Rattus norvegicus: one gene and its partner. Each later gene encodes a partner of the first gene's protein in a complex. Links are inferred from orthologs where the notes say so. Each region holds a gene or a part of one and is shown in the gene's direction. Other genes may lie near its edges.

Region 1 (4,379 bases):
CTTAATCCTAGAATTCGAAGGGGACCATAAACATGAAGTCAGCTCAGAGGCTGGTTTTTAGCGGTTGCCTTCCCAGGTAGAAGCATTGGGCCAGGGGGTCTGAAAGACCCTAGGAAGACGACTTACAGCTTAACTATGATGAAAAGGAAGAGACCCAGGGCAGCTCCATTGGAAGAGCAGCTAGGGCTGTTAAGTCGGACCCATGAGGCTTGGTTTCAACGTCAGTGTTGAGGGCGCTCTTGGAGAGGTTTTTCTTTGGAGCTGGTGTGGTGGCTCATGCCTGAATGCCAACAGTGAACACTGAGGCAGGAAAATGGCAAGGTGCTGGCAGCCTGTGTTTCAAGGAGAGGTTCTAAGTCATGGACTAATTTCGAGCAGGAAGGGGTTAACGAAAGCTCCTGCTAGCAGTTGTTAGAAAGACTGTGTGGCACCTGCCCTCATTCCCCCAAGTAATTATTCTCCCCCTTCCCGGTGTGAGTTGAAGCCTCGATCTCCCCATAGCCTGCTCTACTACTGGATCTGGACCATACTCCAGAACTGTGAGCTAACACTTCATTATTTTATTTATAGGTTACCCAGTGTCAGGTGCTGTGTTCTAGTAATAGCCAGCAACCATTTGTTCTATGAGAAACATTGTTAGGGAGGGGCCACAGCGAAGCTAGTCCCCCCTCCCCCCCGCCCCTCCCCCCCCCGCCCCGGTACAGCGCAAGGCATTTTCCATTCTGATCACCCCATCCCTAAATCTTTCTGCTCGTGTTGGCTGAGAAGTCTTTGGGTACAAAAAGAAACTGGCACTTTCTAACTTGGAAGTACTTCACCTAATGACCTCAACAAGATTCTTGTTTTGGGTAGTTTGCTCAACCGTTGCAGGTGTTGTCAGGAATTCTCTTAGGTTCGGAGTTGGGAGTCTGAGTTAAGATACAGGTTGGCTTGTTTGACAGTATGGGTCTCCAGAACCAGTCCGAAATGAGTGACTTGTAAATAAGCAGTGGCCTTTGTGAAGGATATGGAGGCTGCTTGTGAACTATGCGTCGCTAGTCAGAACCAGATTTATTTATTTACGTATTTAATTTTGCAATTTTACTGTCATCAAATTTTAAAACGGGCAAATGAGAGACTGGCCTGAAGGCGCAGCAGCTTTGATTTTTGACAGCTGTCCTGACGGGATCTCTAGGCCGCCCTCGCCCTTCTGGCCTGGCTTTCTAGAGTCATGATGGGTGCCGGGCCTTTACGCCGATGCGGGATGCGGCTTTCCCTTGTGGGAGCCCCGGCCAGCTCCACAACGCCCGCAGCCTCCGCTGAGGGGGCCGCGGCGGGAACAAAGGCAGCACGTGTCTGGGCGGGGCCGCCCTCCGCCCCGCCCGCTCGCCCGTTCGCCCGCACGCCCAGCGAGCTCCGCTGCGCGGCTCCGGGGCTCAGGAGGCCGGGCTGCGCCGCGCGGCGCCGGCGGCTTCCAGGTGGAGACCGGGCTTCGCGCGTTCCCGCCGCCCGCGCTGCGACCCGTATGGGGCGCGCCCACTAGAGGCGCCATTGTGCGCCGCTCGCGCTGAAGATGCGAGTGCGGCGAGACTGAGCGGGCTTGTGGACCGCGCGCGCAATCTGGAGAGGCAGCTTGGGGGGCGCTCGCCGGGGCGGGGCGGGGCGGGGCCGGCGGGTGCGCGGCGGAGACGCAGGCGGGGGCCGGGCGGGGGCGGGGCCGCGGCGCCTGCAGAACCTTGGACAGAAGCTGAGAGCCGCCGCCGCCGCCGCGCCGAGCCGCGCCGAGCCGCGCCGAGCCCCGGGGCCGCGGCGCGCATTGCGGAGGGTCTGGGACGCAGCGGCTGCGCCTGCCGCGGGGAGCCTGCCTGCGGGTAAGCCTCCGCGGACCGGGGCCGTGTGCGCGGCCTGGTTGGACGCCTGCGGCGGCGGCCGCTGCGGCGCTTGGCTGGTGCCGCAGTGGAAGCATAGGCTGGGGCTCCACGGGGCCGCAGCCCGGGGGGCTCGGGCCTCGGAAGTGCGGGCGGAGGGGCGCGGCGCGGAGCCCCGCCCGGGGCTGAGAACCATCTTGTTTTCCACGCAGATCCGCAGGGCTACACGCGTCGTGTCCCGGGAGCGCCTCCTTTCTCTCTGCGGCCGCTACAGGCTTGGTAAGCCTTTTTCTCCCTCCGGCCGGCAGGCTGGGCGCGCAGGGGTGCCGGCCCCTGCCGGGCGCGCAGTGGCACCATGGGCACGGTGCTGTCCCTGTCCCCCAGCTATCGAAAGGCCACACTGTTTGAGGATGGCGCGGCCACCGTGGGCCACTACACGGCCGTGCAGAACAGCAAGAACGCCAAGGACAAGAACCTGAAGCGGCACTCCATCATCTCGGTACTGCCTTGGAAGAGGATCGTGGCGGTGTCAGCGAAGAAGAAGAACTCCAAGAAGGCGCAGCCCAACAGCAGCTACCAGAGCAACATCGCGCACCTCAACAATGAGAACCTGAAGAAGTCGCTGTCGTGTGCCAACCTGTCCACGTTCGCCCAGCCCCCGCCGGCCCAGCCGCCCGCACCCCCAGCCAGCCAGCTTTCTGGCTCCCAGACTGGGGTCTCCTCTTCTGTCAAGAAGGCCCCGCACCCTGCCATCACCTCCGCAGGAACACCCAAACGGGTCATCGTCCAGGCGTCCACTAGTGAGCTGCTGCGCTGCCTGGGTGAGTTTCTCTGCCGCCGGTGCTACCGCCTGAAGCACTTGTCCCCAACGGACCCCGTGCTCTGGCTGCGCAGCGTGGACCGCTCCCTGCTTCTGCAGGGATGGCAGGACCAGGGTTTCATCACACCGGCCAATGTGGTCTTCCTCTACATGCTCTGCAGGGATGTTATCTCCTCTGAGGTGGGCTCGGACCACGAGCTCCAGGCTGTCCTGCTGACCTGTCTGTACCTCTCCTATTCCTACATGGGCAATGAAATCTCCTACCCGCTCAAGCCCTTCCTGGTGGAGAGCTGCAAGGAAGCCTTTTGGGACCGTTGCCTCTCAGTTATCAACCTCATGAGCTCCAAGATGCTGCAGATCAATGCTGACCCACACTATTTCACACAAGTGTTCTCTGACTTGAAGAATGAGAGTGGTCAGGAGGACAAGAAGCGACTCCTCCTGGGGCTCGATCGGTGAGCCCCTGTAGCTGGTATCCTGGCTCAAGGATTCCATTCGTTTTTAAAATTTATTATTAAAGAATCAAGTTTTGTGTACAGTATGTGTCTAGCAGAGCCACCAAGGGCCTCTTCCCACGTTCTTTCCTTGGGTTTTTTTTTTAGCCCTTTCAAGAACTCTGGGGACTTTCGAACTGATGAACCTTGTGGGAACCCAGAAGATGCATTCAGAGCCACCTCGGCTGCTGACCACTCTCTTTCCGGGGCTCAAGGGACTGACTCGTCTACGTCACCTGTACCCACGATGGATCCAGGGTAGATGAGGCTTCCCGCTGTCCCATGATCTGAGCTGAGCCCCGAGGCTGGTGGCCCAGGAGGAACCAGCCCTTTTCTGGGTATTGTTTCATTCTCTCAAAGGCTCCTGCAGCCAGCCGTTCTGGTGTGGCAAGATCTCCACTGCCCCGGGGCATCAGTGAAGGCGCCTGGGAGTGGGTCTGGTGCAAAGATTGTTGGTGACTGTTGGCCGCGCACGGCCCTGGTCTGCTGCTTGCTGTTCAGAGAGAAGGGCTTTCTTTCCTTTCCTGGCAGGATGGAGCTCCCTCCCCGTCCTTTTGTCTGTGCTCCACCTTAGCACTGGTTAATAAGCTGGTTTGCTCATTAGATTCCTCTCCCACTTTGGGTCCCAGCTAAGGGATGAGGTGAAGCCAGGGGCAGCTCCTCTCCTGAGTGAGCTTTTCATTTGAACGACACACTTCAGTCACCCTGTGTAAAAAGCCAGGACAGCGCCAGGGACCCACTAGCAATGCTGCCTCCTGGGCAGGTGGGTGTCTATGCCTGAGATCAAGTTGGTGCCCACTTACATGCTAAGGCCTCTTGCTGGTGCACATGATACTTGTCCTACATCCCTGGGGAAAGTCGAGATGGGGTGAAATGGCATTGCTGTCTCCCACCCCGTCCCTAGTTAATTTTAAGCCGTTTCCAGGCAGTTCAGTTTCTCCTGGTGAGGAGGCTTTGCTCTGTGCAACCTACTGAGACAGCTGCATTTGGGGACAATTACAGGGTTCGAGTGTGACTGCCGATCAGTTTGGAAGCTTGGTGACTGTCCAGCTGATCACTTCCAGCTGCTGGGTGTGGTGCCCACCCATCCCTGTCGGCTACATAACACTCTGGACTTTAATGGTTTTTCGTTCTAATTTTCCCAGACTGGTAGCTTGGGGTTTGGAAGCGGTCCAAGAAAAGGGAGCCAGTCTTCCTCCATGGCCCTCCCTCCAGCTT
Region 2 (5,636 bases), on another chromosome or scaffold:
GAGAAGGCAGCCCCCTAGGACTCAAACTTCAGGCTCGTCCCAACCACCCTGACCCAGCTGCTCCCCCTTCTGTCTGACCTCTTGTCCTGACCTGACCCGCCAACCCTTTCACGGCTCCACTTCTCAATCCGGAGATCCGGGGGGGTTGCGGTCCCAGGCAACCCCCAAACTGGCGAGTTTCTGGGGCAGAGGGTCGTCTGGAACCCGCCCGGGAGTGGGAAAGCCAGCTGAAGGCAGCAGCTCCCTGAGACTACCCCCTCCTGGTGACAGGGGGCGCGGCACCTTGGCTTTAGGTAACTCTTAAGAGGCGGACCCCGGAATCTCGGTTCCGACTCATACTCTCACTCGCCTCCCCATCCTTCTCCCTAAGACCTCGCTCCCTGCGCCCCAGTCCCCGCCCTTTCCTCCACTTCCACTCCCTCGGCGCCCGAGTCTCCAGTCCCCCCCCCACCTCCGCGGCCCTCACCCTCCCTCTCCGCCACCTAACTGCTTACCCGCTAGCTCTAGATTTCGTGTCCCGGGGGTCTCCGGGTCTCCCCTGATCCTCCGGAACCCTCGCGCGCTCCCGACGATTTCCCGGTGCCCACCCCGGGGCGCGCCCCCGCCGCTCCCAACTTCTCCCAACTCAACTTTCCCCCGCGCCGGGCAGGCCAGCCTCCAGCGTGCGCGCCCCCCGCAGCGCGCCGTGCGCGCCCCCGGCGCGGCTAGCTGAGAGGCGGAAAGCGGACGCTGAGACTCCGCGACGGGGACGCGCTCCCAGGCACAGCCCGACACCGCTGGCGCGGCACCCGGGCTGTGCCTCCCCCCCACCCGCGGCGAGACTCCGGGGACGCCTTCTCTTGGCTTTAGTGAGCCACCTCTGGGAGGAAAGAAGCCAGCTTCACGTTGGGGATCGAGGGCATGGAGTAGGGCCGGGAAATTGAGACGCAGGGAGCTGAATTACAAATTTTTTGACGTTAAGGTTCTGCAGGGCCCTTTCCCAAATAACACCACTGGCTCCAAGAAAGCCCCGTTGTCAGCCTGAGAGAACGGGGTGGCCGGCGAATGTGAGGAGTAAAGACGCTGGAGTTGGGTGGCCGTGACCCTGAACAGATGGAAAACAAGACAACTTGTTGAAGATTCCTCACTTTCCCTAGAACTACCTCCGGGCCGAATGGAATCCTATTCACAGCCGACACCTTTATTTTAAAGCCCTTTGCGTGTCATCTTGTTTTCTCAACTAAATTATCAATTATTTCAGATAAAGAATTCACTTTATGCGTCTTCAGTCTGCCACGTGGGCAAATCACAATATTGTTTATGCAATAGCACTCAGATTTAAGTGAGTTAATTAACAAAAGGTTAGCGCCTACTCTGGTTCCGGCGCTGAGGAATGCTGTTTGGGGCCATTTTCGCCCGGTTCACAGCCCTCAAGAATGCAATCATGAGACAATTAGAGAGTAGTGCAAGAAAAATCTATAATCAACTCCTTTATAGGGTGAGGTAAAGGCTGCTTGCTGCAAGTGTAGCATCTGTCTGTGGTCTTGTCTGTTGAGGGAAGTAACTGACCTGCCAGTCTTCGTGGGCCACACCCTGGCTGACTCCAGTGGGCCTGCTCTGAATACTGGGATCTGGGGGACACCCAGGCTCCAGTCAGCTGGCCTCGGCATGTCAAAGTGGAGCCGCTGGAGTCCGGTGGGTTTCGAGACGATAAAATGGGCCCAGCAGAAAGAGGGGACTTTGGCGTGTGTCCTTCCACTCAAATCCAGACTCTAACGGGGCACACCTGTCTCGCTGCCCAGCCCTGTGGTCAGCTGGTCCCTGTGAGGTCATCAGCAGTAAGACATCGCTCAGAATCATTCCCCAATCAGTCCTGGGGTCACCAGGTGGCCTAGGGAGAGGTGAAAACTAGTGCTGAAGCTGTGTCAGGAGGTCGCTGGTGACTCAAAACACCCAACCAGGTCAGAGCCGGGCCAACAGCGCTCGGGATCTAGGCCGTCAAACGCAAACTTCAAGCAGAGAGCACCCCACCCCCACCCTCACTGTATTCTGGAACGCGTAGTCCGGGAGCGGCCCTTTTCTGGAAGGCTGTGAGCACAGAAAAGGAATAATAACAAGAGCGGGGCACACTGGGAGCCTCCGCGCCTTGGCGGAGACGCCCGAAAAGCGGACACGCGATGCTTCCTGGGAGTTGAAGTTTAAGGTTTGCCTCCGCGATGGAAACGAGTCCCTGGAGTTGAGCGCTGCAGAGAGCCCGAGCGCAGCCTGTTGGGCCTTGTAGTCCGCGTGCCTTCCGCCACAGGCAATCTTGGGAAACATGGCCGCCCCGGGACTACAAGTCCCAGATGCCAGTGCGTGGTGAGCGAGTGGGCGGGGCTGGAGCTTTGGGTACCACCTCCTCTGCAACGCCGGGGCCGGGAGTCTTAGAACCGAGGGCCCGCAGGGGTCCCCGTGGCCGCTGCGATGCAGAAATACGAGAAACTGGAGAAGATTGGGGAAGGTAATGGAACCACGAGATGTTCCTGCAAGGTCTTTTTCTGAAGACCCTACTTGCAGTCCCAGCTCCCTTACCGTCAGCTATGCCTGCAGGCTCCGACCTCAGCACTGGCCAAAAGCCCTGGCCGCTGAGCCCAACACCCAGTGCAGAAACCAACCCTTCACCCTGTGTTAGCATCTGCGGCAAACTCTTGCTCTTAGCCTTAGCAGTCTCTGTGGACCAGCCTTCCTAACCGCGGCACTTCCTGCATTTCTCATCCCTAGCCTCAGCATCACTTGCAAACCTCACCTGGAATCCCTGCTTCAATTCATTGCAGAACCTCCAACCTTAACATTCTTGCAGGCCATCATTCCTCTCCTAGGTGACTCCTTGCTACTTCCCGACCCTACCCCCCACCCTGGAGCTTATGACAGATTCTCCCTGCAGCTGAAGCCTTGCGCTCTTTTAGGCACCTTCCCCTTGACATCCTCGCTCATAAAACTACTCTGGCCTTTGCCCTGGAAACCTACCCTTACACACTAAGATATTGAGAAGGATCCGCTTCCTCATCCCCGACCTTCCCCTAGGCACCTACGGAACTGTGTTCAAGGCCAAAAACCGGGAAACCCATGAGATTGTGGCTCTGAAGCGAGTCAGGCTGGACGATGACGATGAGGTAGGCCTAGGGCATGGGAGGGGTCTAAAGCCTATCTTGGGCTGTGTGTGACTACTACCCCCTTGCATGTTGTAGGGTGTGCCAAGTTCAGCCCTCCGGGAGATCTGTCTACTCAAAGAACTGAAGCACAAAAACATTGTCAGGTAAGGTCTGTTGGAGAAGGTTGAACCTCCTCATTAGACTGGGCTGGTATTGGGATGTTAGAGGCCAACTTGGGGATCTGGTTAAGCCTTTCATTTTCCGTAGGCTTCATGATGTCCTGCATAGTGACAAGAAGCTCACATTGGTGTTTGAGTTCTGTGATCAGGTGAAAGAGGGGCTTGGGGGGATATTAATCCTGGGAGGGTGTAGGAGTCCAAACTAAGGTTGAGCTCTGCCCTTTTCTCCTCATTACCACCTCTATTTAGGACCTGAAGAAATATTTTGACAGCTGCAATGGTGACCTGGACCCTGAGATTGTGAAGGTGAGGGGAAGGATGTCAAGGGATTCGTGGTGCCTGGGTGTGTTTATATAAAGTTATCAGCACTCTTGAGTGTCAGGTTGGGGGCTAGGGTCCCAGACGAACCCTGTTCCTGCTCACTAAGGACTACCTGTCTTGGTGAACGTTTTTAATGTGGTCACCTTTGACTTGCACAGACAGTATCTGATTTCAGTGATGTCATTTGCACTCCAGAGATGAGACATAAGAGAAACTATCTCCTGGATTCAACAAATACCAGGCCTGCACAGTGCCCATACTTCTAACTTTAGCACTCAGAAGGCTGAGGCAGGGCGATCTCAAGTTTCAGACCTGCCTGAGAGGTTTGATGTCTCAAACATCAAAGCAAAATCAAGACAAGGGGGATTGGACAGAAGGTTCAGCAGTTAACGCATATTACTCTTGCAGAAGATGTGAGTTCAACTTCCAGCATCCACCTGAGATAGCTCACAAACACCTGTAACTGCAGACCCCGGGGATCCAGTACCCACTCTTGGCCTCCAAGGGCACCTGCACTCACATACATACCCTTCTCCCATCGTGCATGCATACATATATGCAAACATAATTTAAAAATAAAGTAAATTGAGAGAGAGAGAGAGAGAGAGAGAGAGAGAGAGACCAACAAAATAAATATTTGCTGAAGGTTTTGCTGTGGACCAGTCACTATTCTAGGCCCAAGACTAAAAAGTACCTTGGCCCAAGTTCCAGGGGAAGTGGGCCCTGAGTAATACTATAGCTTTGTATTTGTGTTGATGCTTATGGTGTGTGTGCCCACTTGCAGCCGTGTAGGGGAGACCAGCATGGACTGGGAGCACAGGAAGGTTCACCAGAAAGCTGTGAGAAGCAAGGACAACTTGGTTACTGTTGTACTGCCCCCCGACCCCCAGTACCTGCAAATCAGATTCTCGAAAGTAACTGATGAGAGGCTGAAAAGGTAGCTCAGTTGTTAAGAGCCTTGTCCAGACCCCGGGCACTTGGGACAGTGGCAGGTACATCTCTGAGGTCAAGGCCAGTCTGATCTACAGATGGAGTTTCAGGACAGCCAGGGCTATATAGAGAAAACCTGTCTCAAAAAACCAAAACAGTAACATAGAACACTTGATGTTCTTGCAGAGGACTCTGTTCCCAGAATTCACATTGGGTGGCTGACAACCGCCTGTAACTCCAGTTCCAGGGGACCCTACCCTTTCTTTACGCTTATGTGCATGCGTGGGCGTGCATGCACACTCGTGTGCACACACACAATGAACTTCTCCGCTTGCTGCCAGTCACATGGGCTGTAGGGCAAAGTGGGTCTGACTCCGTTTCCCTTACCTCCCTCCAGTCACTCCTCTTCCAGCTGCTGAAAGGCCTGGGATTCTGTCACAGCCGTAACGTGCTGCACAGGGACCTGAAGCCCCAGAATCTGCTCATTAACAGGGTATTGCTCTGGGAACAGGGCGCGAGAAATCAGAAGCCGGAGCCAGGGGTGGGGAAGCACTGAGGGAACAGGGTGGGGAGAAGGAAACTGGAGCCTACCCCGAACCATTTAAAAGCCCTTCCCCATGTTCCCTTTGTGTTATCTCCCCTCAGAATGGGGAACTGAAATTGGCTGATTTTGGCCTGGCCCGAGCCTTTGGTATCCCAGTCCGCTGCTACTCTGCTGAGGTGAGCCTGGGAAGTGGTGTGTGAGGTTGAGGGAGGGAGTCCCCCAGTGGCTTCTCTACACCACATCATTTCCTCTGCTCTCTGAGCCTCCTTCTGGACCTCCCTCCAGCTCTCTAAGTGGGAGGGGGGATCCCTGTGGGTGGGGTCTTCTCCAGGTGGTCACGCTGTGGTACCGCCCACCGGATGTCCTCTTTGGGGCCAAGCTGTACTCCACGTCCATCGACATGTGGTCAGCCGGCTGCATCTTTGCAGGTGACACATTGGGGTTCTGCGGAGGTACTCTCTTTCCCAGTTGGGGTAACAAAAAGGGTCTAGAGGATCTCATGAAGGAAGGGAGAGGGAGCTCTTGGGGCTGGGACTGGAAGGCATAGGGGCA

Evidence for each region. Proteins that work in one complex are often made in the same cells at the same time.
Region 2: the proteins of Cdk5r1 (region 1) and Cdk5 are in contact, whole or in part, in a crystal structure (PDB 3O0G), measured with the Homo sapiens proteins. The link is inferred for Rattus norvegicus from reciprocal best matches to the Homo sapiens genes CDK5R1 and CDK5. Residues at the interface, in NP_003876.1 of Homo sapiens: Trp190, Gln193, Thr197, Pro198, Ala199, Phe203, Tyr231, Leu232, Ser235, Tyr236, Met237, Gly238, Asn239, Glu240, Ile241, Ser242, Tyr243, Pro244, Leu245, Lys254, Glu255, Trp258, Asp259, Cys261, Leu262, Ile265, Asn266, Ser269, Ser270, Met272; in NP_004926.1 of Homo sapiens: Leu37, Asp38, Glu42, Gly43, Pro45, Ser46, Ser47, Leu49, Arg50, Ile52, Cys53, Leu54, Lys56, Glu57, Val69, His71, Leu76, Arg120, Asn121, Val122, Leu147, Arg149, Ala150, Phe151, Gly152, Ile153, Pro154, Arg156, Cys157, Tyr158.

Annotation. Positions count from the first base shown.
Region 1 is NC_086028.1:65,979,996-65,984,374, forward strand, and holds Cdk5r1 (cyclin-dependent kinase 5 activator 1), read left to right. Parts: upstream 1-2,043; 5' UTR 2,044-2,202; coding exon 2,203-3,126; 3' UTR 3,127-3,221; downstream 3,222-4,379. Other genes in the region: uncharacterized protein Cdk5r1l, read right to left, coding at 1,519-2,043. UniProt on the Homo sapiens protein: p35 is a neuron specific activator of CDK5. The complex p35/CDK5 is required for neurite outgrowth and cortical lamination. Involved in dendritic spine morphogenesis by mediating the EFNA1-EPHA4 signaling. Activator of TPKII.
Region 2 is NC_086022.1:11,644,776-11,650,411, forward strand, and holds the start of Cdk5 (cyclin-dependent kinase 5), read left to right. Parts: upstream 1-2,348; 5' UTR 2,349-2,442; coding exon 2,443-2,479; intron 2,480-3,042; coding exon 3,043-3,131; intron 3,132-3,206; coding exon 3,207-3,274; intron 3,275-3,377; coding exon 3,378-3,438; intron 3,439-3,538; coding exon 3,539-3,595; intron 3,596-4,937; coding exon 4,938-5,033; intron 5,034-5,185; coding exon 5,186-5,260; intron 5,261-5,415; coding exon 5,416-5,512; intron 5,513-5,636. UniProt on the Homo sapiens protein: Proline-directed serine/threonine-protein kinase essential for neuronal cell cycle arrest and differentiation and may be involved in apoptotic cell death in neuronal diseases by triggering abortive cell cycle re-entry. Interacts with D1 and D3-type G1 cyclins.